3 linked regions of the Oryzias latipes genome follow. The main gene of each other region encodes a partner of the protein of the gene in region 3 in a complex. Links are inferred from orthologs where the notes say so. Each region holds a gene or a part of one and is shown on either strand. Other genes may lie near its edges.

Region 1 (10,653 bases), on a different chromosome or scaffold from region 3:
AAGCAAGAGGATCACGAAGAGGTCGGCTTTTTGTTCAACGAGATAAAAGTCCGTCTGAAGTCTCTTCTAAGGTTATTTTCTTGGGGGGGGGGGGTGGGGGGGGGGGGGTGTAAGGAATCCTTTCTAAAAGGACAGACAATAATCCAAGTCCACAATTCTTTGCGTACACAATATTACACCAGAGCTTTAGCTCCGGTGCTGATGTTTTTTAACCATCATAACCATGTGTGCAATTATCGTAATTCCAGCAGCTTTGTGCTGATATGCAACACTGAAGAGTAGTGAAGCACACGCACCATCCACACCAATCGGCTGATTCTGACCTGGCTTTTTTCCCGTGTCAGAAGGATGTTGATGGCGTTAAAGCAGCTTAAAGAGGGCGTGACTTTGCCTCAGCTGGGATTGATCCAGAGTTAAAGGATGGATTTAACTGAAAGACAAATTCAGTTTAATAAAAGCTGAACTGATTTCACGATAAAAGTTTGGTTTTGGTTATTTTGAACATTTTGTTTTTCTCTATGTGACAAATTTCATGTCCATTTTCCTTTATCGCCGCTCTTTGACCTGAGGTCAACGGGACCTCGTGTTGACCTGCTGTTGTGTAGTTTACGGTTTTGTTGGAGAGGCGAGTAAAACTCTGACATCCCCTTTTCTCGCTCCTGACTCCGCCCCTTTTGATGTTCAACATGCAGCAGCAAGGACAAAAAGAGGACGGACTGGTTTCAGGCGTCAGATACACCCACAGGTAAATTAAGGCCTTTAGGCTCTGCAGCGCCTCTACTGGTCAACTTTATGTTGCATCTTTTGTGCTTTTCAGGTGTGCCGCTAAACGCACACAAGCATAATTGTGTCTAGTTTATATATTTGTGGTTTTAAACTCAATTTTTATATATTAAACAAACTTTCAGGGACATTTCATAGACTTTTATATATATATATATATACGCTCATTTTAAAAATAAAAATGTTTCAAGTGAGGTCAGCATCTACAGTCACTTTTTTTGTGCTTCCGGCGGGTCAAGCGCCGTCAAGCAGCAAGATCTTCCTCTGAACGAGTCAACAACCTGATCTTCCAAAGTAGGTTGAGCCAAACCTGAGACAGCAATGGGTTCAGCTCCACCTGGCCTTGAAAAGAAAAGGGTAGACCAGGTTAACAAAGACGGCGAGCACGGCGGCGAGCGTGCCCAGAAGGAAATATCGCACACAGTAGTCATCGGGATGATCCAACACCCGCTGCCGTCGCACTGGGCCCTCCGTCCGGTAGTCCTCTTCTCTGTTCCTTTGTCGCCGCAGGACAGAACGGAACAGCCCTCTGGGCTCTTCGTCAAGCCCCTCCTCTTCCTCCTCCTCCAGTTCCCGCCATATTAGAGAGGCCTGCGATTGGCGGAAACTGGTGTCAGCTTCTGGGAGAAGGCCTGCTCTAATAAACCCTAAAAGTGAACGCTAACATTCGTCACAGCCAGCAGAGGGCGCCGATTTAAAACACGGACTTGAGCCGCTTTTCCTTCCAGAGGAGACTCGTCCAGAAACCGTCTGTCAGAGACGAAGACTGAACCTGAGCAAAGCAGCGTCACATGATTCCAGCAGCAAAGACCACCAGCAAAAGTCACAGCAAATCTGGGAAGTAAACCTGTTTTGCTTAAGGAAAGAGTCAGAGTGGGAGAAGAAAAGGCTCCGGTGAGCTTTGGAGATCCCCAAAGGGCTCTATGCACAGAACTGCGCCGAGTTACTTCCTCTCTTACTGCATTTCCCAATGATTTCCAAAAAACAAACGACCCCAAGTAATTATTGGTTTTCGTTTGAGTTGTTTTTTTTTTTTTTTTTTGCATTGAGTGTTTCTCTTTGTGCGTTTTCCTAATTTAAAAAAACAAAACAAGCTAGTATTTGCCGAGTCCCCGAGTGCGCTGCATCAGCTAAATACAACTTTCCACACGTTCCCAAAAGATGGTGAGAACCGGCGAAAGTGAGACATTCGTTTTCCACGAGATCGCTTTCATTTCACTCCCGATGAGCCGATTGAGCCGTCAAATCCTGATGGACGCAGGCGTTTCAGGGGAGGAGCCATCCCTGTTCTTTTTGAACGGAACTCGCTTCCGGCCGAACGTCCCGGCGTCTGGAAACCATCCGAGCCACCAAACGGCCCGAGACGACTGACAGGAGTGGACTAGGAGCTTTTTGTAGAACTCCTAACTAGACACTTTTTACACTTTTCTCTCTTGCTTAAACCTTTAAAGTTCAAACCTTTATAGAAAATTAAGGAATGAAGAGAAAGATCATGAAAAATTGAACTAAAAACAAAAATCCAAGAGACTGTGAAAGGAGATCCGCGAAATAGCGATGGAACACAAGTACGTAGTGTGTGTTGAGGTTTTGATAAATATAGGTCTACGTGACAAGTTGCTGTCAATTTGAGTCTAGACACCTTTATTTACATTACTACATAACTACTTGTTATGTCCATCCATTGACTGTATATGAGAACTGGACTGAGTGACCCCCTCCCCCCTTGGCATCCCAAACAGGAAGTACCCCACTGGCTCCAAAAAGTCAAAAATCCCATAGACTTCTATGGAGAAATAAACAGCTGTTACACAGTCATGTTTTTCTTTGATTTTGATAATTGTTGCTTTAAGAATATAAAATACAAAGACTGCTGTAGAAAATTTAGAGTTTAATGTCAATCCAATGGAAAAAGGTTTTTTTCAGCACATGTCAGTCTGTTCTTTTATGAGTGAAAGTTGTAGGGTTTATGAATGTATTTTAAATCTTTTTGCATGTTTTTGGAGACCTTTAGCGGTCGCGCCAGGTACTGTTGTTCAACACATTTATTTGAATAATCTTTATTGAAAAGAACACATGTAGAAACAGAAAGGATTCGCTAGCATGCACGCACTACGTTTGTCAGTGGAAAGAATTTGCTGCATACGTCTCAATTCAGAGGTTGCCAAAAACTAACCCTTGAAACTTGAAAAATAGTCAAAAAATACCAATATGTTGAATAAAAGACCAGGTTGTCACACGGACAACCAGCAAGTTCATTTTTGGTTGTCCTCCGTGAACTCAGGTTGTCTCGGACAACCGGATAACAGCTTCTTTCGAACGCTGTTGGATAAACAGACCAATCAGACGCCTCAATAACAGTAGGCGGCCTCGCGTCAAACGTTCAGAGCGTTCAAACCGTTTTCAGTGGAATGGGTGTGGCCTTCTAACATGCTTGCTCCTGTTTGGAGAGTGCTTGCCATAGAAATGTTGAACCCCTGCTTACTGAGGTGACCTGGTTCCACTATAGCGCTAAACAGATCGCGGAAAAACAGCACTTCATTTGGTGGGAACCATTGTCTATGGGTGACATCACACTCGTTCAGTCCAGTTCTCTTATACAGTCAATGTGTCCACCTGATGCACTTCTGGAGCCAAATTTCATTTATTGGGACTTGAGAAAGCTTCAGAAAAGAAATGGTAAACTCTAAAGACTCATTTCCATGTAAAACGGCATCGTTTCCGCTGTCGACTCCCCAAACCTGAAATGACGGAGCGGTTGTACATTGAAGGTGGAGGTAGCGTGTGCATATCCCCTATTGTCTTTACTTGCTTTTAAACCCAGCAGCAGCTGCTGTAAAGGCCTCTTAAAGATAAATCTTATGATCAAATATCCTTAAACTGTTAGGAGACGCTGAAGTGAAAGCTGCTGTACATTTCCAACGCGGCAGCAAATACGGCAAAAGTGCAGAGAAAATCCTGAGATTATGAAGCCAGATGATTGAAGCCTCAGTGCCTCACCTGGCTGGCAGTGGCCCCGGCGCCAGAAGGTGAATCCGCTCCAACAGGTCTGAGGAAGCGTGGCGGCCGCTCCACGGGGGAGTTCCGGCGGCGGTAGAACAGGACGTAGGCGTATCGCGTCACCACCTGGCTCTCCTCCACCATCGTTACGGTGCTGTCGTCAAACAGTCGCCACCCTGCAGGACCACAGAGACGCACGGTTAGAAGGTGCCGCTCATAAGCTAGGTGACAAGATTAAAACCCGTTAAGAGCACATGTGTCAAACTTAAGGCCCGCGGGCCAAATGTGGCCCGCCATAGTATTTTACATGGCCCACGAGAGCATAAAGGTTTTTAATTTCTTGAAATAAAAAGATAAATATTGGTGTGTATTTATTCATATTTAGGGGGAATCGGACTTGAAATATCTGATTGGGCAGCTAAACATTAGGACTTAAACACTTTCCATATAACCTAACCTGACAGAATCTAATTTAAAAGGATTTATGCTAGAGTAACAAGCAAACGTATGTTTTCTATGCAACTGTAATCGTCCCTATAAAAAAGTCATAATAAATAAATAATGAGTTATTTAACAAAGAGGAGTAGTTACATTTATTTTTCAGTACGTTTAGTTACATTTAGAGGTTATATCTGGCCCTTTGAGGACAGCCACTATGCTAAGTTTGTCGCCCCTGCTTCAGAAAGCGCAGCCTCACCAACATCACTGCGCTGGCTGTTCTTGTCGCTCGGCAGTCGAGCGTACGCCGTGTAGTGACCTCCGATCATTCCTCCATAGTGGTTGATGACAGCGTACAGGTCATAGATGGGGGGTTGCTGCATGTCGTCCTTTTGGCCGATACAGAACTTGCTCAAATCTAAATTTCTGGAAAACAAAATCATGTCACTTAAAGAATAAAAAATGATGAATGGAATGGAATGATCCAGAAGGTCTTCAACACACAGGATTTGTTGAAGGGACAAACAACTGAGCGAGCGTTACCCGACGGTAGGGCTGCACGATATGAGGAAAACTCGCGATATGCGATATTGGTGATTAATATTGAAATAACGATATAATTCGCGGTATATAAACAAATAGCAAAACAACCAAAAACATCATTTCCATTTCACTGCAACAGTTTAAAAATTATACTCCAAATGACCCTCATCTACATAGGAGGCAAACATCAAACATAAAAGGGCTCATCTGATTGATCAACAACGTAAACGGGTCCTTCCGATTGGTTAAATGCATAAAGGGATTTATTTCATTTGCTCAATATTTCAAGCTGCCATGAGTTTGTTTTGGCACATTTAAGGTAACCATTTATTGCGATTTTTGCCGTCTTTTGCGGTATGCATATTGCACAGCTTGATGTCGCGATAACAATAAATTTGCGGTATATTGTGCAGGCCTACCTGACGGGGAAATCGACCATGTCGTTGATCTTGTCCCTCCAGATGAAGCTTCTGAAGGAGAAGCGCTTGAGCTGGATGATCAGAACGTTGGGCAGACGCCACAGAAGCAGCTGCTTTGAAGCTTCGCGGTGCTGCTGGCACTTGGGACAGTACCTAAGCAGATGCACACAAGGAACAAAAAAATGTTTAAGAAGAGACTCGTTTGTATATTAAGGCCTAAAATGTGAACATTGTCTACTTTAAAAGCCTTTTTTTCAGAGGAAAACAACTTTTCTTTTCCCAAATTTACCATAAAACATAAACATAAATGATTGTAGTCATTTCCACTTTACAGATATTTAAAGTTTTTTGTGTGGATCATTTTAATTTAGTCTGTCCTATAAGTTTTTGATGGAGCAGGCAGGACACATGAACGTCCCCTGGAGTGTTTCTGTTCTTCTCGTCTTTAACAGCAGAAGCCGGACTCCTACCAGGCCTCCTCTGGCGCCAGCACCTCCGGCTTGGTGAAGAGATTCAGGCACTGCTCGAGGGTGAAGTGTCCCGCTCTGGCCGTCTCGCTGAGGGAGCCCGGGTCCTCCTCGTACTCCAGCTCCTTGGAGCTCACCAGCACGTACTCCTTGAGGCGCTCGTTGTTTTTCCACACCAGTTCCAAAGTGGCATCTTCGGGGAGATCCGCCAGAGCGTCCTCTGCAGAGAGGGGGGGGGGGGGGGGGGGAGGACAGTTGGTAAGTAAGGCGGTTTGAAGCTTCTGTGGAGGCTCTCGTGGATTCTGGCAGCACCTTTCTCATCGAGCCTCTGCTCCTTGTTGTTGGAGTCCAGCAGTGCGATGTAGAACTGACTGGCGTGACCAGACGCAGATTCACTCGAATGCTGATACCCCGTTACTGCAGCTACATAGGAAAAGACAACTTTTTTTTTCAGGTTGTGCAAATATAAATCACAAAAACAGATTTTCTATTAGCGTTTTACCTTCGGGTCGCACCGTCTTTTCACAGGATGTCTCCTTTTCTGCATGGGGGTCGAGAGAGCAGCAGGAGGTGGAGGAGATTGACTCTGAGAAGCCTGAATCTTTAGTCCGGGAGGAGGACAGCGAGTCTGAGACCTCAGGGTGGATCGACGAGGCCGGAGCAATGTCTGCCAGGGATTGACTGTCCAGCTCCAGATCCGCCGCTCCCACTGAACTGCTGCCGCCCACGGCTTCATCCCCAGAACCAGGAGCCTCAGGAGAGCTCGCCGTCATCGGTGGGAGGTCAACCCGGGACTGCGGGGTTTCAGGAGATGCTCTGCCCGACTGGAAAGGAGGCTGGAACACGTTTACTGAAAACCTGCAGAAAGTCAGGAAGCCTTTTAAGAGATGTGGGTTGATTGGAAAAATAAGTTTTTATATTTGTAATTGATGAAAATGTGTTTGAATTTTGATACAAGTATCAGCAAAACACAGATTTCTCCCAAACCAAAAAGGTTAAAAAAGACAACAACAAATACTTGTAAGAAAACTTTGAAGTGCCACTCAGATCATCTTTGGATCTATTTTTAAAGCGTTACCGGTGGTCTCTAATGGCGAGCAATATTGGAGCTAACCAGCCAAACCGTTCCGATCCAGATGAGGAAAACATAAATGGATCTATTTGTCTGTAAGTGGATGCATCAGACAATAATTTGATTGAAGAAATGCTCAAAAATGACATTTTTGTCGGAATTTTCTTTTTTTACTTCCTCAATCATCAGAAAAATGCCACAAGAGAAAATAAAAAACACAATTTTCATCAGAGTGAGTCTTTAAAATTGAGGTTGAATTGATCCACTTCACAAGCAGTTTTCTGGCAAAGTACGTACCTGGAGTAACCTTCCAGCAGCTGGGCCAGCCTGGCGTAGGAGAGCCGAGACTCCGGCACACTGACCATGAAGGGCAGGCCCACGTTCTCAGAGTTGGGCCGACACAGACCTTTGTGACTGGGCCAGTGCGTCTTCTGACAAACTCTGAAAGGAGAAGAACGGGAACCACCCACGTGACGATTCTGACTTCTTCACAGTGGAATCAAGAATAAAACGCCGGTGCTCCTCACTGATTGCAGTAGCCAACTCGATAGCAGCGCATGCAGCGCTTCAGCTTGTCTTCTTCAGACACCGGAGGCTTGAGGCAGGCGGCGCACTTGGAGATGGGAGTGTTGGGCACCTGAAGTTTCTGGAAGATGATCAGGAGACCATTGAGTTTCTGCGGCTGTCCGTCATGCAGGAGACAACCCGAAAACAGCCCATGTCCTACCTGGTGCACCTTGATCAACAGCACCCTCTCTTTGGCTAGATCTTTGGAGAGCAGCTCAAAGCAGAACAGCATGTCTGAGGGCGACACGGTGTCCAAAGACTGGGACGGCAGGAATATGCGCTGGAAGCGGTTCTTGCTCACCTACAAGAGGAAATTTCCTTCGATTCTTTGGACTAAAACAAATTGTGATTTTCTTTTTTATGGAGCAAAAAAGACACAAACTGACCAACCTCTGCTATTCTGAGGTTCTCGGGTTTGACCCTCACGCTCCTGGAGATGGATTCCAGCACCTCAGCTGTGCTGGAGTTCTCCTTGCTCACGCTCACCAAAAACTAGAAGAAACCCCCAAAAAAAGCAGGAGTTGTTTGCACCGTTTCCAACAAAAGGTAGAAGTTCAGGAAAACCCACTGAAACTGACTGGTCTCACCTTGATGGGCTTCTTATGAGGTTCCTTAGCAAAGAAGAAAACGGAGAGAACCTTTTGCTTTTGAGGAAGGGGAACAGGCAGGTACAGGAAGGGGTCAAAGGTGATGGAAACCTAAAAAAAAAAAAACAAAAAAAAAAACAGGCAGAATGTCAGACCAGGTGAAGCAAAGCTTGTCCGAGTCTCTTTGTAGGAATAGCACATTACCTTTGAACACATGGGACACACGAGTTTGGATTTGAACTGGCCTTGGAAAAGGTCGACAATGAAGGAGTCGTTTCTCATCTTGTGCCTCTGCCACGCCTCTTCTGCCACCACCTAGACCGACAGATGAACAACCGCCAGGTCAGAGCGGATTCTGACTGAACCCAAACCCAGATTCCGCCGCCGTCACCACCTCATCGAGCCGTCCGTCGGAGTCCACCGTCTCCGTGTACGGTTTGTTCTGGATGCGGTTCAGGTCTTCGTGCAGCCCGTCCAGTAAGAACGCCATGAACTCCTGCGCGTCGTGCTGAGCGTAACCCGTGAACTGACTGGCTTTGCTGGCCACGATTGCCTAAACGCAGACAATGACCGTGTGAGCGGCGAGATCAAAAGGAAAACATTTACGAATTTCAAAAGGAATTTTTTTTTTTGCTGGAGATTTTTTCAAAAGCTCTATTTGAGGAAGATTTGACATCATTAGTGGAAAAAAGGAGCAAAACATGATTCTCGTTCTATTTTAAACACAGTTTCTTTATTATTCTTTTTCCTTTTTTAAACATTTAATCTAAATAACCATTAAATAAATAACCATAATATCCATTCTTGCTCTGATACATTTTTTCAACATCTTCTTGATAATCCTCTTTTTATCATGGTATTATTCTTTTTATTATTTATATTATTATTCAAGTTATAAACTGACCAATCAGATGCATCAATAGAAATAGGTGGAGCCTAATGGTCCCCACAGCATTTAAAACATTTGATTGACATTTCGGGCAGCCCGCTTAAGTGATAGGGGTGTGGCCTTCCAACAAGCTCAATCCTGATTGGTGAAAGGGATTAGCAAGGAAAAGTTGATTCAGACCGACTATGCTTGCTGACAGTTTTTGGTTCCAACATGTCATATACTGCGAGACAATGGCGACGGCATTGCCTTCATGTGGTTGGAGCACCGGTCCAGTTCTCAGATAGGGTCCGTGGTTCTGGCTCACCTTGAGTTTTGAGGGCTGGAAGGCGTGATGAGTCCCTTTCCACAGAGCCCTGAGCAGCACGGCGAAGCCGATGGCGAGCCTTCCTCCGGTTCCCAGAGGGTTGCTGCAGTTGATCTCAGCCTCAAACGCTCGGTCTGGAAGGACAAAGGGATACAAATTTAAATGACAAAAAAAAAATGTAACATGGTCAAATGGATGATAGATTCTACAGCTTTGACTCAATCGTGTTCAGCCGTCACAGAAAAAGCATTTTCCAAACTGCCATAAAAAGGTCACTTCCGGGGTTGAGGTGACCTTCATGTTTTCCGGTTCGAACACTTCAAACTATTTGATCCTCACAAAGATTCAAAGTTTTGTTTTTAGACATTCGAGATTCTAATCAATCAACAATCAACATAAACTACATTTTTTTTCACAAAAAATACAGTATCAAAAAATGCAAACTATTTGATTTAAATGAGCAAAAAAACTACATAATATCAAAGTTTCAGTCATTTTAGTAAAACATTTTTTCCTTTATGAAAGCTTGTGTGGAACTCTGTCTGCTGCATGGTTAGATCATTTGACTATTTTCAGGTGATTTTCTTCTTGAGGTTGGAGTTCCTTTCCTATTCTTAGTCTTCCTCTTTTTGGAGTGAAGCCTCAAGCTGAGGTAAACCTGGCTGACGGACGGCCTTTCAGAGTTCTCGCTAAAGCTCGAGCTCGTTTTTACGGAGGCGAGGAAACATGAACTTTGTTTACCGTGAAAGTAATCCCTGAGTTCTCTGGTGTTCGACAGGGACTGGATCACACTGTTCATGAAGCAGGTGTTGCCCAGGTTGACCAGTCCCGTGAAACCGGGGAGGCACACCTTCTTCTCCTCCTCCTCTTCGTGGCGCTCGATGCTGGCAGGAAGGCTGTACGTCATAGGCTGGACCATGCAGGTGGGTTTAGGCTGAAGCAGGAGGCAAGAGTCTGAACGAAATGTCTTATTTAAACGAGCAATGAGCAGCACTTTCCTCAAAAAGGAGAACTGCTCACCAAATGTTCACTTCGTACTCACCGCGGTAACGGCGGGCTCAGATTTGGTGATGGCAACGTGTTCAGAGACGGAGCGAGGTGCAACGCTGTCCAGAGCCCCTCCCTCCACGCCTCTGTTTGAGGCCTTGGGGGCCTTGGCCGTCTCCTCCCCAACTCTCGGGGGCTCCTCTTTGGCAGGGAGGCTGTGCTGACTGCTGCCTGGCTGGCTTTTGTCCATGCAGGCGGGGCTGGAGGCCACAGCCACCTTAGCACCACCCACTGCACCTTAAACAGGAGGCAAGAGCTTGTGGTTAGAAAAACGGAGCCCAAAAATGGAAAAAACTGCCTTTTTGTCGTCCGCTCCTGTTTCACAACAATTTGGATACAGAAATACTCAGAAATAATATTTTAAGGTTAACATTCCTCCACCATCAGAAAAATGTCACAAACATGTAATTTTCATCAGATATAAAATAAAAAGACCACTGGGATTGCTTTAAAAACAGCTCAAAAGGGTCTCTCACAACCAAATAAACGCAAAACTTTACAGTTGAAGTGTTTCTGCCTCTCTGTATTTGAACTGAG
Region 2 (11,353 bases), on a different chromosome or scaffold from region 3:
GAAACTGGTTTGGTTTGGTTCTTACTCACAGAAAACCAGGGGCAGAGAGCTCTGCTTGTTTAGTGAGGTTGTGGTTTTAGATTAAGCAATTTAACCTTAAAAAATACAATTTTCCTATATTTAAAATCTATTTACAAGTACATTAATAAAAATGCCTACAGATTTAAGAATGCTGCCATTTTCTTTTAAAACCTTGCATTCCCCCCCCCCCCCCCCCCCTTTGCCCTACTCTAACAAAAGCTTTGTACAGATCTGTGACAAGATTGTCTAAATAATCAAACACTAACTTCTTCCTCTGTTCCACAGTCTCCAGCTTTGCAGCAAGACCAAAGTCTCCGAGCCGCAGATCCATGTTCTCATTGATGAAGAAGTTACCTAAAAGAGACAAGTGGATTTTTTTCAGTCAGCATTCCAAACATAAACGAAGCCAAAGTCACAGCAGATTCCTGGGATGCTTGTTGCCCGCATGCCTCATGACAATTACCTAGTTTGAGGTCTCGGTGCAGGATGCCTCTGTTGTGCAGGTACTTGAGACCCGATATGATCTGTCTGAGGTAATACCGCACCTCGGGCTCTGTCAGTGTGTGCCTGGCCTTCCAAATGTGTGCGAGGGACTGGAGAGACAGAGCAATGAGGGAAATGTCAGACCTGCGCCCATCATTGGGACTGCAACACAGACATTTCTCTGCAGCAACAAAGAGTTAGAGATGAGCGTCTGTGAGCGGTTGGCTGTAACACATGGCTACTTTAATCCTGTGGGTCTGTTCAGCAATTGTGTAGTGGTCTAAGCTGCATAAAATAAAAATCTACAATTTCTGAGTTAAAATACCCAAAGCAGAAGCAAAGTCTGGTTAATCTAGAAAAATTAAAACAGGAACAAAAGAATTCAAATGTGCCACTGCATGTGGTTTAACCAGACAAACTGAAAGCTGACCATTTTTTTAAGAGATCTGTGAGGTCTCACCTTACGACTGCAGAGCTCCAGGAATATGTAGATGTTTTCTTGGTCTTCAAAATAATGGGAGAACTTCACCACATGCTTGTGTGCCAGGGTTCTGTGCAGCTCGATCTCATTTGTGATCTGTCAAACATTTCACAACTGGTCAGTTTCTGGCAGGATATATAAGTTTAAGGGCCGACAGATGCAAAGCGCTGCTTTTTTTAATTCACCTTCTCCCTCTGGTGTGGTTTAGACACTCGGCTCTGTGGTATCACCTTGACGGCATACATTTTGTTACTGGACAGGTCTGTCATCTCATAGCAGCGAGCAAAACCTCCCTTTAAAGAAAAAGAAAAAGATATTTGTAAAGATTCACAGCAATTAAAAAAACTGCATTGAGGGCCTTAGAGGAATAATCAATGAGGTGGAATGCAGTTCTTAATAAAAGTCTGTAAAAATGCCTTTGAAAAGCATATTTCATCATTCAGTCCAAGATGAAATTGAGAACTGTTTTTTTTTCTTGTGATTCGGTCAAGCCTCCACCCTCCCATCCCCATATTCCCACCCTTTAAGAGGGAAGCTGCTGCATCCATTAACCATGAAAATGACGGAGACGCTTTCAGCCCTGCGGCAGCAGCAGCAGCAGGGGGCGGGAGGGGGTAAACAAATAAATATAAAGATCTGGCTCTGAGTCAAGCAACACGTAGATTCATTCATTCATTCATTCATTCATTCATGGACGCAGTGGTGCATCATCATAAGGGCCGTCTGCCAGTTTGGTGAATCGTTCGTCTGATGATGGGTGTCAAGTAAAAATTAAAAAATTAAAAACAACAAAAATCACCGACATGTCTCTTTTTTTTTTATTATATGTTGTAACGAGACGTTGCTAAGCGCGCGCACGCACAATACAATAGGCGGGCACACCTTGCGCCTAAATCACTCAGCAATGAATGACACGCAGAATGATCAAATCCACAGGGCAGACACTCAGCACACCTGGAAAAAAACCCTCTCATGATGACGATTTTCATTAAGAACCACGTTTGTTCAAACTAGCGACCGTCAAATGCAGAGCTGCTAATTTATTCAGATTCTAGATCCATCCATGAAGTCAGCAGCACATGGAGGGTGGTTTTTCTTCTGAAATGAATAGCTCAAATCGTCGTACCTTTCCCAAAAGCTTCCCTTTGCTGTAGGATCTCCCCGTCCTGGAGTCCGTCACCACCTGAGCCAGCTCCGGTTTGCTCTGTTCGGGTTTATTCCGGGCATTTTTCGCCGTGCCAGATGACTGGTGGGGTCCACGCTCCGGTGTGGGCTTAAATAAATCCGCATTCATGGTGTGGCACGAAACACGGTGCGCCGCGGTCACACAGCCGGCATCCATTAAACTCAGAGACAACTGTCGTTTGGCGCTTTTCGCGTTTTCTTTCTTTTTAAATCCCTTTCTAGTTGTCGGCGGATGCTACGAAGAACCACACTCCCTGCATCCGCAATGACGGTTTTCATCTGGCTCTCTTGAAGCGGACCGCCCTCTATATAGACAGAGCGGCGACGTCACACTTCCGGGGGCGGAGTTAGATGACGCAAAGGACTAGAAAGTACAAATGATTAGTCCTGACATGATCTCCCTCAAAGATGTATCAGAGGCCCAGGGAAACTGAATGAGACCAAGGCTCCACTGCACTGACACATTTTTCATTATTACTATAAATTACCTGTGAGTAATCTGATTTTCAAAAGATTTATGCAGAAGGCCGAGTTTTTCTGCCCACACATATACTTTATAACTAAAGTTTGATTTAATTTGACATGTTTTCCAAAGACCAACAACATTCAGCTTTAAGATTACACACACATTTTGTGTCTCTATTTTATAAAGCTGAAAAAGAATTCTAAAATGTGCCAATAAAACTAGGATTTTCATTTACAAAACAAAATACAAAAATTTACAAAATAAAAAATACTAATTAACTTATCAATTAATAAATTTAAACACTAAAACATAAAGACTCAGCAGTCAACACTAAGTTATTTTGAAATACATCATTATTAGTTTTAAAGTATTTTATTGGTTGTTTTCGTTTTTGGGAGAAAAGTAAAATGACACTGATGTTTTAGCATAAAATAATTTCAAAAGAATAAATATATATTAGTATAATTGACCACTGATTATTACATAAAGATTTTGGGATGTAGAAGTAACAAAAACAGACAAAGTTCATCTTAGCTGGTATATTTGTTAATAGTTTTGGAACAAATCAATATTGGAAAAACAACTTCAGTTGGAGGAATGCATTTCAGCAGTATAGGAGATCAATTTTCCATTGAAAATGAAACTATTGCTACCATACATACAGACTATGGTGGAAATCCTGCAGGTCACATTACCAATTTGTGGAAGCATGATGTGTAAACATACAACAATTATCAGACTCATGCAATAATTTGGATTATGGCAATAAAAGCTTATCAGTGTCTTTGAAACCCATTTGATCCATTTATAGAATTACCATAAAATAAAAAGTACATTTACATATGTGAAAAACCCTTTAGGAACAAGATGGAACGTCTTTGATATCTGATCTAACATTACATTTCCATTACTTCAGATCTTAAACCAAAAGATGATAGGTTTGATTTTAGCGCCATCTGGTGGACAGAACTCCTTTCTGCCCATAATAACTTCAGGTGCCAGACAAAAATGTTTCCATGTTTGCATCACATTAGGTATATGATCCTTTAACTCTAACTTTTAAACTCAAGATCGAAACAAAAACTGCAAAATTTAAATGTCCATCGTTTCCTCTCCTCGAAACTTCTTCTCCTGGGACTCTGACCAAGCTTTGTTGATGGTTCTCTTCATCTCGTCATCTCCTTCTTCGTAAATCTTTTTCAGCATTTTCATTAAGCCATCACCTGGGTCTGCATTATCCTCAGCACTGGGTTTACTGTTGAGAGGGAAAAAAACAACAACATTCATGTGGGAATATTTTCACGGCTGCAAGGAAAGGGTCATGTACTATCAACCCCGAGAAGATCCTTGAATTAATACATGTGTGATAAGTATTTCAATAAAAAACTTGAAGTTTCCCCACTTTTACAGCTTTAATGTGTGTTATGGCACTTAATTTTATTTTCCTTATTTTATTGGTCATTGAATCAGGTTAGCGTATCTTTACAGACTGGTAACAGTCTGTGGGTCACTTGGCACCAGGCCCCATAATGTTACTTTACTTATAAAAACACATTTTCTGGGCAGTTGTGTTATTTTGTTTTGCTATATTTATCTGCCACACCTTAAAGGTCCAATGAGGCTACAAATAGCCTCTTTTTTTCTTGAACTTCCACTTTAATAGTTCGGGAAAAGGTCTTAAATTTACTGGGTCCTACACCAAAATGAAAAGTTCTAAGTCTGCTAAAAATGTCTGTAGATTTTATATAGAGAATGGCAATAAAACAAAACAAAACAATGCTGCTTGTTTGTGGTAGTTGTTTCTGATTTGTGATAACTTGTAAAAACAGGACATTTAGGACATTTTTCAAAAGGAAAACTAAATAATAAAGGTCTCTGATAAGAAACTAATACTCCTATGTAGTAAAAATAAATATAAAATGGTTCAAGATTTAATTTAAAAACAAAATATGATAAAATTTTTTTGTCCTGAAGCATAACCAGAGCCTGAATTGAGTTGACCCAGTGCTTTAGTCTTCTCACAAAGGATTGTAATTTAGCTTTTATCCAATTTTCATTCATCAGAAGCACCTTTTCACATGTCAGCAACTTTGTTCTATTCAATCTATGTCTCCTGTAAAAATCTACAGACCTTTTTTATAATGACTTTTTTCTTTAGACTTTATGTAGAAACCTTGACTTGATAAATACATTTCCTCTATATTGCCCAACATTAAACTGGCCAAACATTGTTGTGTTTCCAGCTAAACATTAATGAAAAACACATTTAGTTATTAAAAAAGAGGTTTATTCTGAACTTACTCTTTTTCTTTGGACTGCTTTTCCACTGCTGTTAGACAGTCCCACTTCTTTGTGGCCTGTTTCTTACACATGATCAAGACCATGTCTGTTTTGATCTGTTGCAAAAAAAAGTAGTAAGAAATTAGTGACATAGAAAAAATACAATTGTAAAAACAAAGGGGACATATATGCCGAATAAATGGATATGTAATCCAAAAAATTCAGTGAGCAAATTTTTAGGTTCCAAAATCCTTTGTTGGTTTTTTGTTTGCTGATTCGGAAGAGTATGAAAACTGGGAAGGTTTTTTGATAAAAAAAGAAAGAAAAAAAAAGGGGGCTGACATTTTGGTACCAAATTTTGCAAAGAATACTTTTTTCAAAAACAAAAACATGGTGCTACTGGTTCAAACAAACACTGGAGGAACATTTAAAGGACAAGAGAAAAAGTGACTCACCTTTTTGTAGCTGTCCTTTTCATCAATTGGATGTAACAAGTTGAGCACTGACATCTGGTGATTTTTCCCATTTAGATTCTTTACCAAAACAGAGAAAGACCTGAACCAAGACAAAATTAGGCTTAGCATAAAAAAATGTATGAATGCTCCTTACAAAACTGTAAGATAAGTGGATTTACCTTTCAGTGAAGTTGACTTCAACATTTTCTGCTGGGATTTTGTCAACACCTTTCAAATCCAGGTAAATTTTAACAAATTTGTCTGACTGGTCCCATGCTACAGATACAAAAGATAAAACCACAAACAATTCTTCAAATCTTTCTTTTTTTTTTTTAGTTCCAAACACTTGTAATCTCTCAAACATGCTCCATACCATAGTTGGTGATTTTAGTTGTGTATGGTGCTTTAGAGCCTGCTGTTGGATCGGCTTCTCTCTTAGCCTGCTGCTCCTGCTGATGTCGTTTCGTTGCAAGCTCTTTTTCCACTTTCCTCTGCTCCTGTTTCAGCAGCTCCTGCACCCTTTTCCTCTCAGACTTCTCCAGGAGGGAACTAAGCTCCTGCAAGTCTGCTTCCAGCTGACTGATCTGTTAGAAAAATGAGGAACAACCACTGCACAAGCTGATCTTGATGAAGCAAACTATTTGTATCAAGTCTGTTTTATTTATTTATTTAACTTATATATAGCTTCTTCTAAAACAGTACAATTTAAAAGTTTCATTTTCCTGACTGGAAATTCTACATCTAACCTTTACTTAAGTCAGTTAAGAACCAATTCAAATGTGTGAACTGCTAATGATGAGATCTGCAAGTCCCTTATGGAAATGTTTTAACGTACACTGTTCGATTAAACACATTTATGCAAAGACATGATTAAGAAATTCACCTAAAAACATAAAAAAGCATTAATTAAAAGCAAAACTCACATGATTTTAATCAAAATATAAAAACCAAAGCAAAGCATGGCTCTATTATGACTTAAGTTTAATTATCACGACATATAATAAAATAAACCTCAACATTTACGAGTAAGGATATTCAATAGCATCCAATAGGAATTGAGATATTGTCGCTTTCAATCGTTTTTCTATCATTTAAAATGCTATAAAGCAACTCCGAAGGAAGTGTAGCGCAGAACCCGCGAGCGTGATGTTGCTAGAAGGTTCTAGTAAACTTCATGAGCACAACTGAACGTCAATCATCACAGGGACTTTTCTCGCCCTCAACGTTTGTCACTGTGACAAACTAAACAAGCTTTTCAAACAATCGTCTAAAAAAATATACAGACAGAAAGAAACAAAGCAAAGCATACAAAAAAATCCGTTAAGGGCAAGCGGCTAACCGACAGCTAACACAACACATCGCCCAACTATTGAGACCGACGTAAATTTAACAAACTCATCCAAATAGACAATGATTTTTTCTTCTAAAATAATACTTTGGCCAAGACATGTTTCTTACCTGTTCCGTTAGATCCATTCTGGTTCTTCAAATTCCACTCAGTTTTGTCAAGCAGCACAGCTCTTCGCAGTGAGGAGTTCTAACAATTTGGTTTGGCCCTCTTTAGAATTATTTCCTGCTGTTAAAAGTTCCTTTAATCTCATTACTGCCACCCAGTGGTTGGAATAAGTAAGATCAGAACAATACACAACAGTAAGATATATTTATTTTAAATTTAGCAGATTTTACGTACTGTAAATTACTAGTGGCAATATTTATACTCACGAGTTATTTTTTATTTTATTTTAAAGCAGCTATTTCTATTTAGGGTGAGTATATGACCTGACAACAAAAACATTTAGCAACTTGTATCACTGGGACACTTTATTTATTTTTTTTTAGAAATACCATCATGTTCAAATTAAACACCATAAATTAATCCTTTAATAACACTGTGAAGCTTCAAACAGCCGTGTTGAAAATTACACAGCACATGAATGCTTAATGATGGCTTTAACTTTTCACATCAGTAGATCATTCAGAAGCATTTTTCTCCACAATAAACACAGTGTTTGTGTTTATTACCACCACATAAAAAAGAAGGAAAAAAAAAACAGGACACTTTTGTACAACAATATTTATTATGTTTTGTTTTTTTTTACTCTTAGTCGAGCTTAAATACTCAATATTTGCATTACTTCTTTAAGTTCACACAACATTCTAGAAATCTGCAACCTGCATTGCTTTGTTAACACACAATCTTACAGACGAATCCAATAGACCACATTCACCACCTTGCCCTGAGAATCCCTGACATCTGGTTGTGGTCAGCTAGGTGTCGGAATACAATTCGACTCAGTCGCCACCTCCGCTTCACTCCTCGGGGCCGGGAAGTCATCACACACCTGTTGCGTATCCTCACAGGGCAGCTATCTCTCGGGAGTGCTGCAATTTCTTTGTCTGCTATCTCCTATGAAGACAATTAGACAGGGTTTAGGGATTGTCCGCTACTGGTGTACTTTCAGCTGTTTGACATATATTGTGTGTGCAACTAGAACTTTTGTAAAATCGTGACTCTTTAAATAATAAGAGCATACTGTCAAACTTATGGTGTGGCACAATGAGGAACTAGTTGTAAATAGGAAGCTGGAGCCTACCTGAAGCTCTTTAGGCAGGATAGTATTCTTTCTTAATGCATTGATCCGTAGCCTTTCATCTGCATAATCGAAGGCCATCTGTCTTCTTTTGACGTCCCTCAGCATCCTCCAGTCAACATAATAGCTTCTCATCTGCTCCACAGCTCCCCAGCAGCTTCTTAGTGCCTGCACACAACACACATCAAGTTTCTGACAGGTTTCTCTCCATTTACCACACATTTGCAATCTATTTTCTCTGGTTTTAAGTTTTCACTTGATCTTAGTTCTGTAATGCAAGAGGTGCTTGACAAAATATTGTAAAAGAAGTCTGTTTGCGATCATCAGTTTAAAAATAATTCCTTCTCATTTTGCGGGCTTGAAACAAGTGGTCCAATAATCTCTTTTTTTATTGCTTTGGCACAGTTAAACTAACACTGTTATAGCAGCTTATAGAGTACACCAAAACAAGATAGTAGGTCATGTAAATCGGACCATCTTTAAAAAAACAGTAATGTAAAAGATTAAAAAAATGTAAATGTTTTAGGCTTTTTAAGACCAAGAATATAAAATTTAGTATTACAAATTGACCACTGACAGAGAGAAGTGTATTTGGTTCACTGCTTCATCATTGGTTTAATGAATACAAATATCTCTACTTTTTCCATAAATGTTCTTAACGTGTTTTTTTTAATCATGTTTGTCATAATGTCGGATAAGTCAATGTCGAACCCTGATGCAAACGCAGGCTCTGACTAATTGGTTTATCAGAAATGTAATGAGAGCTGCCTGTACCGTCTGCAGAAAACGCAGCAAAGGGAGAGGTCATAATAATGTCAGTCGATGTTCACAATATGTTAACTTTATACAAAAATGTCAGTCTCTATTCTACAACAGTTTTAAGATAAAGTTACTCTCAATTACTGTCTATCCTCCTCAACACAATTTGAACAGTAAAGGAATTTATTATTAAAGTTAAATTTCGCAGCAATTTTATGTCTCCGAGTTAGCTAACATAGTCCAGGTCAAAAAGAGTTTTTGCACCCTTTATTTGAAACTACATGGGGCGATTTTACAAAAAAAAAAAAAAAACATAGGTCAAAACGTTAATACGTGACCTTTACCTGATTTGGTGAGAAGACTGTAGAATAAACGGCATTTAACCCCAAACATGTTAGCCGGCGGGCCGCCATATTGGTTTAAGAGTGTCCTCTTCACGACGTGAGCAGGATATGACCATGGTGAGGCTGAAAGTGTCGCCACCTAACGACCAGGAGGGCGCACAACAAAAACCAGAGCCGTTGTAATCTTTAAGAATTAAATAACCATGACGGTAAAATATGTCTGAAAAATGCACACTAACCAATAATATGTTCTTAAATTTTTATTGATAGTCATAGCTCAATTTTCAACTATTAAGTTAGGTTTAGTGGGAATATAAAACATATAAAAACATGTTGATTCTACATTTCTTTTTAATGTTTTGAATTGGAAAGCAAGCTTTACTATGATAGAAACTTGTCAAAACACATTTAAACAACACATTTTATGGTGAAGATAAGAAAAAATTACAAGACCAATGTGACAATCCTACCAGTAGGTGGCAGTGTAGCGCTTCTGTTTTCAAACCTTCACAAATCTCAAGTTATTATAATTTTGTAATGAAAAAATGATAAATACATTTCATTAAACTTAAATTCAGCAGTTTCGTATTATTATTATTATTATTGTTATTATTGGTATTATTTGGTATCCAACAGAATCCCAAACATCTGAGCTTCAGCAGGATGCCCAGCTGTTTTAAAACCTTGAAGGGTAAAAAAAAAAAAAATACATGGATGCAGATAAACAACAGAAGCTGATTCTATTAAACAATTCTCGTTATTTTAGAGCCTGTAGGGGATGCGTTCATGGTTAAGTATTAACACATGAGGTTTGGGAGTGCTTCCTCTATAAAAAGGAACATTTTGTGGCTGTAAAAGCTGCAAAGGAATTTGAAAATTGAACAAGAGAAACCAGTTCATCTCTGTTGTCTGCAACTGACTACATTTTACACTTTTCATTGAGGATGTAGCAACGTGTCAAATATTTTTTTTTATTTGGATTTAAATGAAATCTAAATGTCTGACTTAAGTTTGCCATAATGGCAAAAAATATTTTATAAGGAAGTTACTGGTTCTTGAAATGGACAAATATTCTTATTAAAATTAAAAAAATAACGGCATCGTCTAGAATAATATATAGTTTATTTGCTGTTGTTTTGTTCCTCAAGGTCTAGTACTCAGTTCAGACTTTTAAAGGAACTATTTTGGGTTCACCAAGAAGACCAGAAGTTTGTGAAGTTATTCCTTATTATGTAAATATTGAGGACAGCCATGGGTCTTAGATGCATCCCTCAAGGACAGAGAAACAAGAGATTTTCGACAAATTTTCTTAAACCTTTGAAAGCAGGAACTGGGTTTTGCTGTGGTTGATTAAAAGTGTACCTCTCTGCTGCAAGCCTTTCAGCATCCTTGGTTTAAACTTTTGATTTATCCCTATTTTTAAGCCCTATTTGGGTAAACAATCCTTTATCTGATTAAATTCAGCAACAGCATCAGACAAAATACAAAGAACATCTGTACACAGACAGAACAAGCAGCTTTGAGGATGTGTCGTTTGATGCTTTCAAGCATCCCGCTGTGGCTTCAAAACATATGAATGTTCAAAGGAGAACATTTCCCCAAACTGGGACTTCTCAAGGTCCAAGACTAAAGTACCTTGTACTCAAATCTTACACCACAATTGTGCACTGATGTTCCAAGACCTCAGAAAGACGTTTTTACACTAAAGTCACACTATGTCAGACTGGTGTGTTTGTGAGTTCAGCGGAGATTACTCAGACTGCTAACCTCATCTATAAAACTGACAGCAGTCAAGTGAGGACGGTCAGCACCGTGACACCATGTAACTTAGGGTGGAAGGACAGGTCACAAACCACAGCATCTTGCAGAACAGACTAAACAAACAAGTAATGCACAGTTTCACTCTCTCAGAAGATACGTTTACATTCCTCCACACGTGGGGCCAGTTGGCTTCGACAGAGAATGAAATCCAAAGTATATTTTGATCAACAATTACAGCTTCACAGTGGGATATATGATCATGACAACCTTTTCTAAGCAATATAATGAATGTAATTTTCCAGTTTCCATTCCACAGTGATAGCAAATTAACTGAATGGGTTGTGTACTGCACGTGTGCAAAAACACAACATTTAAATGCACGCACTCTCTTAATGATACATTTAAACAGAAATGTAATCATATTAAGTAACCCTTGTGCTACCTTAGATGACCCCACCCTTACATTGACGTGTTCTCCCTACTATGACAAAGGTGGATAAAGGTGGAAAGATTTCATGTAATCCATG
Region 3 (9,537 bases):
AATCCCATAGACTCCTATTGAGAAATAAACAGCTACCCCTTGTGCTACCCTATGACCCCACCCTTACATTGACGTGTTCTCCCTACCATGACAAAGGTGGAAAGATTTCATGTAATCCATGGACACCAGTGAAGATCACAAATCATTGAAGAAAAAAGGTTCAGCGCACCGTCTGGTGGGTCTAGATGTTAAAGTGCCTAGGACAGCACAAGGGTTACAAATATTTTTTCTTTATTGCAAGTTAAACTGACGAATCAGATGTCGTAAATAAAGTATGTGATACCTGTTAGCCCCCACCTCCAAAATGTAACCCTTGTGCTATCCTAGACACTTTAACTTTGGGAGTGGGGTCATCTAGACCCACTAGACAGTGCGCTGAACCTTTTCTCTTTAATGATTTGTGATCTTCACTGGTGTCCATGGATTACATGAAATCCTCTCCACCTTTGTCATGGTAGGGAGAACACGTCCATGTAAGGGTGGGGTCATCTGGACCCCATAGGATAGCACAAGGGTTAAAGCATTGACAGATTCTTCCAAGTCCCCTTCCAATAGGTTATGGGTGTGGACTTCCAACAAGGTCACTTCTGATTAGGTAGAGTGGTTGCCATAGAAACAGTGACTCAGACCAACTCGGACCAATCCCTGATTTCTGTCTCCAACATGGCAGCATCCATATAGCGAAAAAAAATGGACTGAATCGACTTTTGGGGCCAGACTTTTCTAAGGGTGATGTCATCCTGACTTAGTCCAGAACGTTTGAGAGGCGCCGCTCATGTGGTGCAGTTGTCATTTTGTAGAGCTGCCTGAATGCACACTTCCAAAATCCAGTCCCCTAAAAAATATCCCAGAAGTCTCTACCAAAAAAAAATAAAAATAGAAAGTGTGTGCATCAACACTCACTAGATTGGCAAATAAGGACCACAATGCAATGCGTTTGAATTACTTTTTCATATTAAAAAGGTTATGAAAATGAAATTTTATAACCCAAGTCATCAGAACACAGTGGGTTCATAAATGTTCATTCTTTTTAGGTTTTTACTCTGGGAAATCAGTATGTAAAGAAAAGTAAGTAAAGTAAGTAATTTATCGTAAAAAAAATAAAATAAAAAATAGTAAACATGGCGTCAGAATTCCTTTTACAATCCAGACCACTACATAGTCCTGCAGTTTCAAGTTTTTTTTTTTAGAAGGGAGGGAATCAGACACAGCCGTCGTTTCCACAGCTGAGCGTCCTCCTGACTCCTCCTGCTGTGTTGGAGGTTCAATTCCCCCTCAAAGGAACGGCAGGACGCGTCCAAACCCTCAACCTTCTGAAACAAACGAGGCTGCTGAGGATGAACACAGGAAAGAAGAGGGAGCAGCTATGAAAAAGATAGATTTATTTAATGACAAATGAAAACAGAAAGAAGTCTTAGAGCTTGAGGGAGAGCAGCAAACTTACTGAGACTGCAGGCGGAGGAGCACCACCTGCACCACCTCCTCCCAGAGAAAAAAAAACTTTCCACACAGAGAACAGACGGAGGAAAACAACCCAACACTGGAGAAAAACAAACCCTCAGAACGAGAACGCTATTCTCTTTTTTCTGTTTAACTACAAACACTGAAGTTTAGCCACACGTTTAACAACTGCCTTTTAAATTTTGTTTCTCTCTTTTTTTTTTTTTTTTTTTTGGAATTCAATACAAAATAATGAAAATCATGATAGCAACATTTTCACCTGTAGGAAGGGATGTGTTCCAGGCTGGGCGACGCAGAGATGAGTGCAGGGAGGAGAAAGAAAAGGTGTACGAACATGCACACGACAAACACACACACAGCCATTCATCCAGGAACTAAAATGTCTAAAACAAACGGACTAACAAAATAAAAGCACAGAGGAAAGACGGGTGAAATGTGGATTTCCTTCTCTGTGGGCCGTGTGGGGACGCACAGGCAAATGCTGCTGAGAAAACAAAAACAGTACATCCTGGGCTTCAGTCCGTTCAGTCTGACTACTGTCGAGCGTTTAATGAGCGTCTGATGCATTTTCCTAGGCTGGACTCGAACGGAACAGAAGAGACCGGACCAGCGCCGGTGAACTGTGACTGTGGTGGGACGCTACAGTCGTCCCGCCTGCCGGAGGTCGTGTCAGTTATAGGTGAGGACAAACGAGGTTTTCTGTGATAGACTCAGTTCCAGTTTGAGCGGGTCGATAGCAGCCACAGTCCTCCGTCGAAACAAACAAAAACTAGCTGGTCGGCTAGCTCAGCACTGAGCAGGAATCAGTCCGGAGCTTTGATCCGCTCCTTCCAGAACTGTAGTGTCCCAACAGGACTGAAGGGGGCGCCAACAACAGAAAGAGACACTAAAACCATAACGGCAGACAGACACCCCCGTTCCTCCACACATGGCTGGACTGACAGTCCGGTTAACGGGGGAGACAAAGGTGGGCGAGGGCACTGAGGTCACGACCCCTTTGACCTGCTTTTTAAAAAAACGCCTCAACCATTGTAGGAGTTTGGCCCCGCCCAGAGTTTTTAGCACATGGAGATGGTGACGTTAATGCCCAGGTTTCCGTTCTCTGCAAACAGCTGCGCGATCGACGTGTCGAACACCAGGCAGTCGCTGTTCATGATGGCGGTGGCGATGCCCTCGTGGATGGAGCGCGGCGTGGCCTCCCAGGTCAGCCGGCGCCGGTGCCCGTTCAGCTCCAGCCGGTATGCAAAGTTCTCGGCCTGCTTCCGGGTCCCAATGAGCTGGACGATGGCGAAAAACTGCTGATGTCCATCGTACTTTTCCTGCTTCTCCAGGACCAGCATGAAGTGGAAGCCAAAGCAGGACTGCATCATGACCCAGTCCACGGCGCCGGGCAGGTTGATGTCTGTCGCCAGGAACACGATGTCCTCCCCCTGAGCAAACACACGAGACATGGTCAAGTCAGACGCTCACGCCGCCTCCAGTCAGCAACAGATCTTTTAAAACTCATTTGAACAAGAAGTTCTGATCAACTGAATGAAATGTAAATCCAGGTTTCTTCCTAAAACAACATTTTCCAACCGGATGAAGCTTTTGTTCTTCGGCGGCAGCAGCTGAAGCTTTCCGTCATAAACTCAAAGGCGTCTGCGCCTCACCTGCAGGGTGGTGATGGACTTGTGCTGATGCATCAGGTGAGGCATCACGGCGTCCAGGGAGCCCTGCCACTTGCAGGAGGCGCCGGGACAGGGGCAGGAGTACGGTCGGAACTCGCACAGCTCCTCGTGCTCCGTCTTGTCGGTGTGGGGGAGCGTGACCTCGCAGCCTGACGAGGCGTACTTGCAGGGAAAGAGGACGGAGTTGGCCACCTTCTCCATGGCCAGGTTCCTGATGGAGCCCAGCGGGCCTCTGCAGGTGGGGCAGCAGGTGAGTTTGGGCCGACAGTTGGAGCACACCTGGAACAGAGCACCTCCCGTTAGTGTCACCTCCTAAACGTCCGTCTTCAGCCTCACTCGCACGTACCAGGTGTCCCGACTGGCACTGGAGGATGGGGGGCAGGACATAGTCGAAGCAGACGGGACACTCGAACAGGCTGGCCAGGTCACTGTTGGAGGCGGTGGTGCCCGACAGGGTGGGCACGCGCTGAGAGGGGGGGCACTTGGATGTTCCAGTGGGCAGCGCGGTGGCGGTCTGGCGACTCATTTCTGAGGAACACAAGAACAAAGCCGAGATCAAAGCGCGGTCTGATGAGGGAAGATCTGAAACGGATTTCATCTGAATATTCAGAAACGATGAGGAGCAAACAGAAAATCTCAAACCTTTGGCAGTAAATTTGATAAATGTTGAGAGAAGCTACATCAGCTGAAAAGATGCAGATATAAGGTACTGAATATTTAAATAACGCTGCATTACACCAGTTAGATAATCAACAAAAAATGCACACAGGAATGTCTTGGGTAATGATTCACTCTGACAAAAAGTTTTTTTATTTTTATTTTTTTTTTTACATTTTCTTGAGGGATCCGTCTGATGATAAAAAAGACATAAAAAAAAGCTTAAAATGGCATTTTTGAGTATTTATTCAAATTGTTGTGAAAAAGTGAAACTTTTTTTATAGGAATGCTAAAAAAAGAAGGAAACAATTAGATGCTTATTCATCAAAATGAAGAATTAAAAGTTCAAAATGCTAGTTCCACCCTAGAGCACTATTGCAGGGTGATTTTCACCCGTGCAAAACTATTTCCATGAACTTCAATAAGTCACGTGTCAAGCAGTCTGCGCCTCACCAGGGAAGGCTCACATGTCCCATAAGACCAAGTTTTTAGGATCATTGTTTAGACATTTTTTGTTCTCAAATTCCCAATTTTTTCTGTCATTTTTGAGCATATTTTTAGGAAAAATCCTATGTTTGTTTGTTTTTTTTCATTTTGTTACACATTCCACAGATAAAAATAAAGGAAAACCACTTGAATTTAACACATGTTGTCATGTTTTGATCTATTTTTTATGATTGGTACTTTTTGCTGGGATGATTATATTGGGGAAAAAATGACCCGGCAACAAGGACGGTGGGACTTGTTGTAGCAAAAGTGTTCCAGGGTTAACAAATGATTTATTTTAGAGACAGATGACTAAAATGAAAAACAGTGAAGGAGAGATAATAAAACGGAAGAACTCCATTCATTCCAGCTTTAAAATGGTTCTAAGCTTAAACATTTTGTTAAGGCATAAAAATCAAAAGCTACAGCAGAAATTCCCGTTTTTTTTAAGTCTGGAATTAATTGAATCCTCGAGTATAAGAGGAGAGATTTCAGAAACATGTTACCGCCGTTTACGTCAGTGTTTCAGTCAAATGTTTTCACTATTTGACAAAAAATGTTGTGTTCAAAGTTTAGCAGTGATGTTGTGTCTGTTGCCTTGGGAACAGCACAGTTCTGTGCAGATGTTCCCTCAGATGAAAGAACAGAAAGCAGAGATGAGGATGCTACTGTTAGGGAAAAAAAGATGCAGACAGAATGATGAAGGGATGCTCGCCGACGTCCATCAATAAAAATCTCAATCAGATTTGTTGATCACTTGATTAGATTTATGTACCACAAATGCTTGTTTTTTTTGTTTCAACATTCTCGTCAACCGTAGGAATGTTTCTTTTTCTTTTTCTACACTGAACATAAATTCCAGCTCTGTATTTGTTAATAAAGTTCGAGGCTCTTTAAACACTCAAGATCTGTGTTGAAAAGGAGAAAGACATTTATTTACCCAGAAGAACTCAGACCACAGAACACATGTCTGATGTTTTCTGATGTCATCATGGTTTATAGGGATGAAAAATCCTTGAACATGAAGTTAGCTAATCAGTTATTATTAGCATGCTAGCAGGAGCAGTGGGACTGATTTGGCTTAGGATGCAAATCTCTGACGTGCGTGTTGGGGGGGGGGGGGGGGGGGGTGTTTACAGACGGCACACAGAAGGGAAACCTGAGACGGTGCCTCCAACATGTGAGTGACAAACACTCTGCAGAAGTTTACTCCAAACAGAAGTTCTTATTTTAGCCGGACAGAAAGCGTTTGTGTGAGGAGAACGTTCCAGTGCAGCGATGAGGTCACACGCTGAAACTCTCTTCTGCTTGACAGCAGAGAAGAGTGAAAAGACGTTGGAGGGAGAGGTTTCAGTTATCAAACATCAGATTTCTGGGAGGCACTCAGTGGTTCGGCTTAGGTGGGTTGACGCAGGGCCCCGTTTCTGGAAGGACCTCGGTCGTGGGTCCTGCTGTCGGGGCGTTTTGGCAGCGAGGAGCTGAACAGTGTTGGATAAACATAGCATCACTTGTTCAGTTGGCACGCCCGGTGCCAGCTGACGAGGAGCTGCCAGATAAAGACGGCGTGGGCCGGGCCCTGCAGCGGGACGGCTGATCAGCCCGACAGAAAGGTCTGAGCCCACACACACAAAACTACAGCAGACATGGGAAAACCAACAAAGCTGCCATCGATCCTGTAAATGTAAAGCAAATCCCCAACAGATCCACTCAGACACAGACAGACAGACAGATTGACAGACAAGACAGACTGACCTTCGTCCATAAGATTTCCAAATAAGGCTTCTGTCTGCTCCTGAAATGTTTGGACCTCTGAAAGAGAAAACAAAGGAAGTGCACATGAGAACCCGACAGGCTGGTTCTGAACGTTCTGCTTTGTTCTCCAGTCAGACACAGAAGTGGGCTCGGATTGTTGTGATGTTCCGGCAGACGTGAGGGCCGGATGGCGCCGAGGCGGTGTTTGATGGGCAGGACACAGAGCGTGCTCACTTTAGATTTCTGCTGTGTGGACGCTTTGCTGCAGAGCCACTCATTCATATTTCAGTAAGTCTGGTCCATTTCTGGACTAAAGGTTGACGAGTGAAACCCGTTTGTCTTCAGCTGAACAAAATCTACACAAAGCAAATTATTCCTGGACACGATTGCATCACATTTGATTTGAGGTTTCTGTTAAAACGACGTACAATGTCTCCTTCTGTGTGGAAACAGAACTCGCAAACACAGGAAGCTGCTTTTTGAAACTAAAAATTCATCTCCACATAAACCGTCTCGTCTACAAACATAGGCAGAAAACAGGGCTACGGTGTGGGAACAGGTAGACGGATAAGACCATCGATGGTTCGGGGCGTGAAGGTGAACACCAACGATGAAGGAAACCATAAACCATAAACATCTTCCTGTCTTTGTTCTGCCAATGGTTTGGTTGCAAACAGACCAAAAAGTCTGTTTCACCAACAGCTTCTGCCTCCATGAACCTCATGGAGGCTCAACAATCTTTAAACGCATCGCAAAAGAAAACCATTTCCCTTTTAGAAGCTGAAGAAATATAATCTAGAAATAGTTTCATTAATTAAGAGATTGGATATTTTTCTCAAAAGATTGGAAATTATTATTATTTTTAATTGATGTTATTTAAGAAACCAAGCAGAAACCTAAATACAATGTTGAGTAAATACAAATTGTACATTTTTTTGTATATATTGAATCCTTCAACTATGTGATGAATCTTTTGACAGAAAACAAGAACATCTTTTGTGCATCACAGAGCGAGAGGCGGAGCCTCAGAGATGGAGTCGTCCTACTTCCTGATTGGAAAAGAACTCAGGAAAATAACTAATATTTAATTTTAAAAGAAATGTTCTTTTGTGTCCCAAAATATATCATCATATACATGGATATATATATTTTTTACTATAAAAGGCTTAAGAAGAGCCTGGTATAGGCCCTTAAAGGACCAAAACATAAACACACAAAATGAATATTTAAAAAGCAAATTAGTTTTAATAAATGTTCAAAAGTGCTATTTGTGAAGAAAACATTCCCGTCGTTCCCTTTTCTCTTCTATGATAAGAAATTAAATATCCTGAATGACAAAACTAAACAGAGGAACATCAGGACAGGTGAAGGGGGATTCAACACAAACGTTAATCCACGTTAAAACAGTGCAACATAATGTACGCAGGGAAACGGTTAAAAGCATCTTCTGTGCTCGCCCACGTCACGCACAGCATCGGTGTGCCAACACGGCCCCCTGCACACAAAGTGCCAATTCAAGCCACCTTGGGCAGAAACATGGAGCTGGTGAGGATCGACGCGCTTCACCTTTAGTGTTGTGCACATTCCTGGTTGCTACGCATGAGAGCAGCCTGAACAGGGAGTTCCAGGGTGGAGCTTGTGGAGCTACACTTGTCTGCTTGGATTTCACTTGGACCACAGACATAGAGGTAAAGCATGTATGCAGCCCCTCTGTGCCACGCTGCTCAGGCCTTTTCCATGGAAACCACACACTGCTGCTGGAGCTCTACGCATTCCTCCAAATACTGGATCATATTTCCCCTCCTGCCACCCCCGCCCCCGCCCCCACCCCTCTCCCCTTGGAAAGTACAAGCTTCTGAGCGGCTGGAGTTCTGCAGCAGATCCAGAACGAGGGTTGTGTCCAAACAAACACCAGCAGATCCTTAACAGCGGGAAAACGTCAGAGTCCAGGGTGTTTGAGCGACTCCACTGCAGAAGCAACAGAAGGAGCCCGGACAGCAGCCAGGCAGGCTAAAGGGTTAATCAACTCGCCAGTCTGCACAGGAAACGGGAGGCAGTTTAGGAGAGTCATTAGAGCTTCACCAACACTGGGTAATTATCCAGTTTCTCCACTCAGGAACTATTTGACATTCCACGGGGCGGTTGGTTAGCAGGTATAGAAAGAGGAGTCAAAAAAAAGTGCAAGTTTGCAAAAGAAAAATCCTCAAAACAAGAGAGCCCCAGCTCAGAAACCTAACCTTGGCTCCCCGAGAGGAAATGAAAGAAGAAGAAAAAAATCCAGTGTGAAGTCTCCCCCTTCACTTTCTTCTCGGTTTGGATTTCAGTGATGTTCTTTGTCCTGGGGAGCGTGGTCGGTGTCAGCGCCACTGGCTGTGTTTGTCTGAAACACAGAGCTAAAGTCCGCATCCAGCGCGAGTCTTTATCTTTGTCTCTGCAGGCTCAGCCCTCACATGTCTCAGCTCAGCTCCAGCTGCATCTCCCTGCTGCTCCTGCAGCCTCGTGTCCTCTGAAAGCCTGCAGTTTGCCTTCTTTCTCCAGGCTGGACATTCTTCCTCCCTCTGCCCCCTCCCTCCGCCTCACTGTGGTTGTGCAAGTCTCAGATTTCAGCTGGTATAGCTGTAAGCTGCAGCACCAGCTGACCCCTCTGACTTCATACCTCCTTTCTCCTTTAGTGCAGCCCGTTTCTCCTCTGTCCACGTTTTAAATGTGAGCCAGAGAACACAGGGCTGCGTTCTCTGGCTCACATTTGCTCTTCAGCATAACTTACTTACACACTCTACAGCAGCGTCTCACCTTCTCAAAGTGCTCTTCCTGTTTTTGAGAAGCACTCTAGGTATGTGAAAAGCTCGCTCAGCGTTTACCGTTCGGAGCATCGATGCTGAAGATGCAGCACATCCCAGAGTCAACATCTGCTCACGAGAGGACAAAGAGGAGAAGCTTTTCTTTGTGCTTCATTTCCACATGGACCAAATCTGTGGAATTCCTTGCCCACCGTATGCTAAGCCGGAAGGATTTTTTCGCCCCCTCAGACTCAGTTATTTTCACAAATCTGATAAGAGATCAAACACGTCTGCAGCTGCATCAAAGACGGAGCGTGTCTGCTTTCAAAATCTCTGTCTGGATGTTCAGGCAGCAGTTTTTGGGAGGTCTGCAGTCAAACCTGCCAGTGGCTAGCAGACAGTGTTGTGAGAAAACAATTCTCCTGCTACATCTTAACATCTTGGCTTCAGTGCACATTAAAGTTTCCTTTATGCCAACGCAGAAACCCTGAATTCTGATTTTAAGTAATACTTTTAACAAGACTGCATTAGCTTAATCTAAAAAAGCTTTTTGAACGTGCCAACTCTTTTTACAAATTCAGCTCTTAAGCTAATATACAAAAAAAAAGAAGCACAAAAGGGACTAAATGTCATCGACACAGCAAGTTTTCATAAAGTTCCAGCAGGACCGGAGAACTCTGTAGAACATCAGCTGTTCCCTCGACCAGACCACTCATAGGAACAACCTGACT

The links.
Region 1: the proteins of siah1 (region 3) and usp19 are in contact, whole or in part, in a crystal structure (PDB 4X3G), measured with the Homo sapiens proteins. The link is inferred for Oryzias latipes from reciprocal best matches to the Homo sapiens genes SIAH1 and USP19. Residues at the interface, in NP_003022.3 of Homo sapiens: Cys130, Pro131, Thr156, Leu158, Gln159, Asp162, Ile163, Val164, Phe165, Leu166, Ala167, Thr168, Leu172, Val176, Asp177, Trp178, Val179, Met180, Asn276; in NP_006668.1 of Homo sapiens: Lys463, Pro464, Thr465, Cys466, Met467, Val468, Pro469, Pro470, Met471.
Region 2: the proteins of siah1 (region 3) and cacybp are in contact, whole or in part, in a crystal structure (PDB 2A25), measured with the Homo sapiens proteins. The link is inferred for Oryzias latipes from reciprocal best matches to the Homo sapiens genes SIAH1 and CACYBP. Residues at the interface, in NP_003022.3 of Homo sapiens: Leu158, Gln159, Asp162, Ile163, Val164, Phe165, Leu166, Ala167, Thr168, Val176, Asp177, Trp178, Val179, Met180, Asn276; in NP_055227.1 of Homo sapiens: Lys59, Pro60, Ala61, Ala62, Val63, Val64, Ala65, Pro66, Ile67.

Annotation. Positions count from the first base shown.
Region 1 is NC_019865.2:4,248,325-4,258,977, forward strand, and holds the end of usp19 (ubiquitin carboxyl-terminal hydrolase 19), read right to left. Parts: intron 10,354-10,653; coding exon 10,112-10,353; intron 10,004-10,111; coding exon 9,811-10,003; intron 9,204-9,810; coding exon 9,070-9,203; intron 8,427-9,069; coding exon 8,268-8,426; intron 8,189-8,267; coding exon 8,078-8,188; intron 7,985-8,077; coding exon 7,874-7,984; intron 7,779-7,873; coding exon 7,677-7,778; intron 7,588-7,676; coding exon 7,447-7,587; intron 7,366-7,446; coding exon 7,247-7,365; intron 7,161-7,246; coding exon 7,017-7,160; intron 6,506-7,016; coding exon 6,150-6,505; intron 6,071-6,149; coding exon 5,960-6,070; intron 5,868-5,959; coding exon 5,651-5,867; intron 5,334-5,650; coding exon 5,181-5,333; intron 4,645-5,180; coding exon 4,478-4,644; intron 3,957-4,477; coding exon 3,781-3,956; intron 1,375-3,780; coding exon 1,111-1,374; 3' UTR 100-1,110; downstream 1-99. UniProt on the Homo sapiens protein: Deubiquitinating enzyme that regulates the degradation of various proteins by removing ubiquitin moieties, thereby preventing their proteasomal degradation. Stabilizes RNF123, which promotes CDKN1B degradation and contributes to cell proliferation.
Region 2 is NC_019875.2:24,406,035-24,417,387, forward strand, and holds cacybp (calcyclin-binding protein), read right to left. Parts: upstream 6,961-11,353; 5' UTR 6,848-6,960; coding exon 6,830-6,847; intron 5,956-6,829; coding exon 5,745-5,955; intron 5,648-5,744; coding exon 5,551-5,647; intron 5,472-5,550; coding exon 5,372-5,471; intron 5,033-5,371; coding exon 4,938-5,032; intron 3,892-4,937; coding exon 3,729-3,891; 3' UTR 2,996-3,728; downstream 1-2,995. Other genes in the region: serine/threonine-protein kinase PLK3, read right to left, coding at 288-375, 485-614, 965-1,081, 1,171-1,278, 2,112-2,327; mrps14 (28S ribosomal protein S14, mitochondrial), read right to left, coding at 7,596-7,778, 7,966-8,130, 9,066-9,134. UniProt on the Homo sapiens protein: May be involved in calcium-dependent ubiquitination and subsequent proteasomal degradation of target proteins. Probably serves as a molecular bridge in ubiquitin E3 complexes. Participates in the ubiquitin-mediated degradation of beta-catenin (CTNNB1).
Region 3 is NC_019864.2:25,280,623-25,290,159, forward strand, and holds siah1 (E3 ubiquitin-protein ligase SIAH1), read right to left. Parts: upstream 8,634-9,537; 5' UTR 7,711-8,633; coding exon 7,593-7,710; intron 6,084-7,592; coding exon 6,027-6,083; intron 3,660-6,026; coding exon 3,478-3,659; intron 3,411-3,477; coding exon 3,114-3,410; intron 2,892-3,113; coding exon 2,520-2,891; 3' UTR 1,366-2,519; downstream 1-1,365. UniProt on the Homo sapiens protein: E3 ubiquitin-protein ligase that mediates ubiquitination and subsequent proteasomal degradation of target proteins.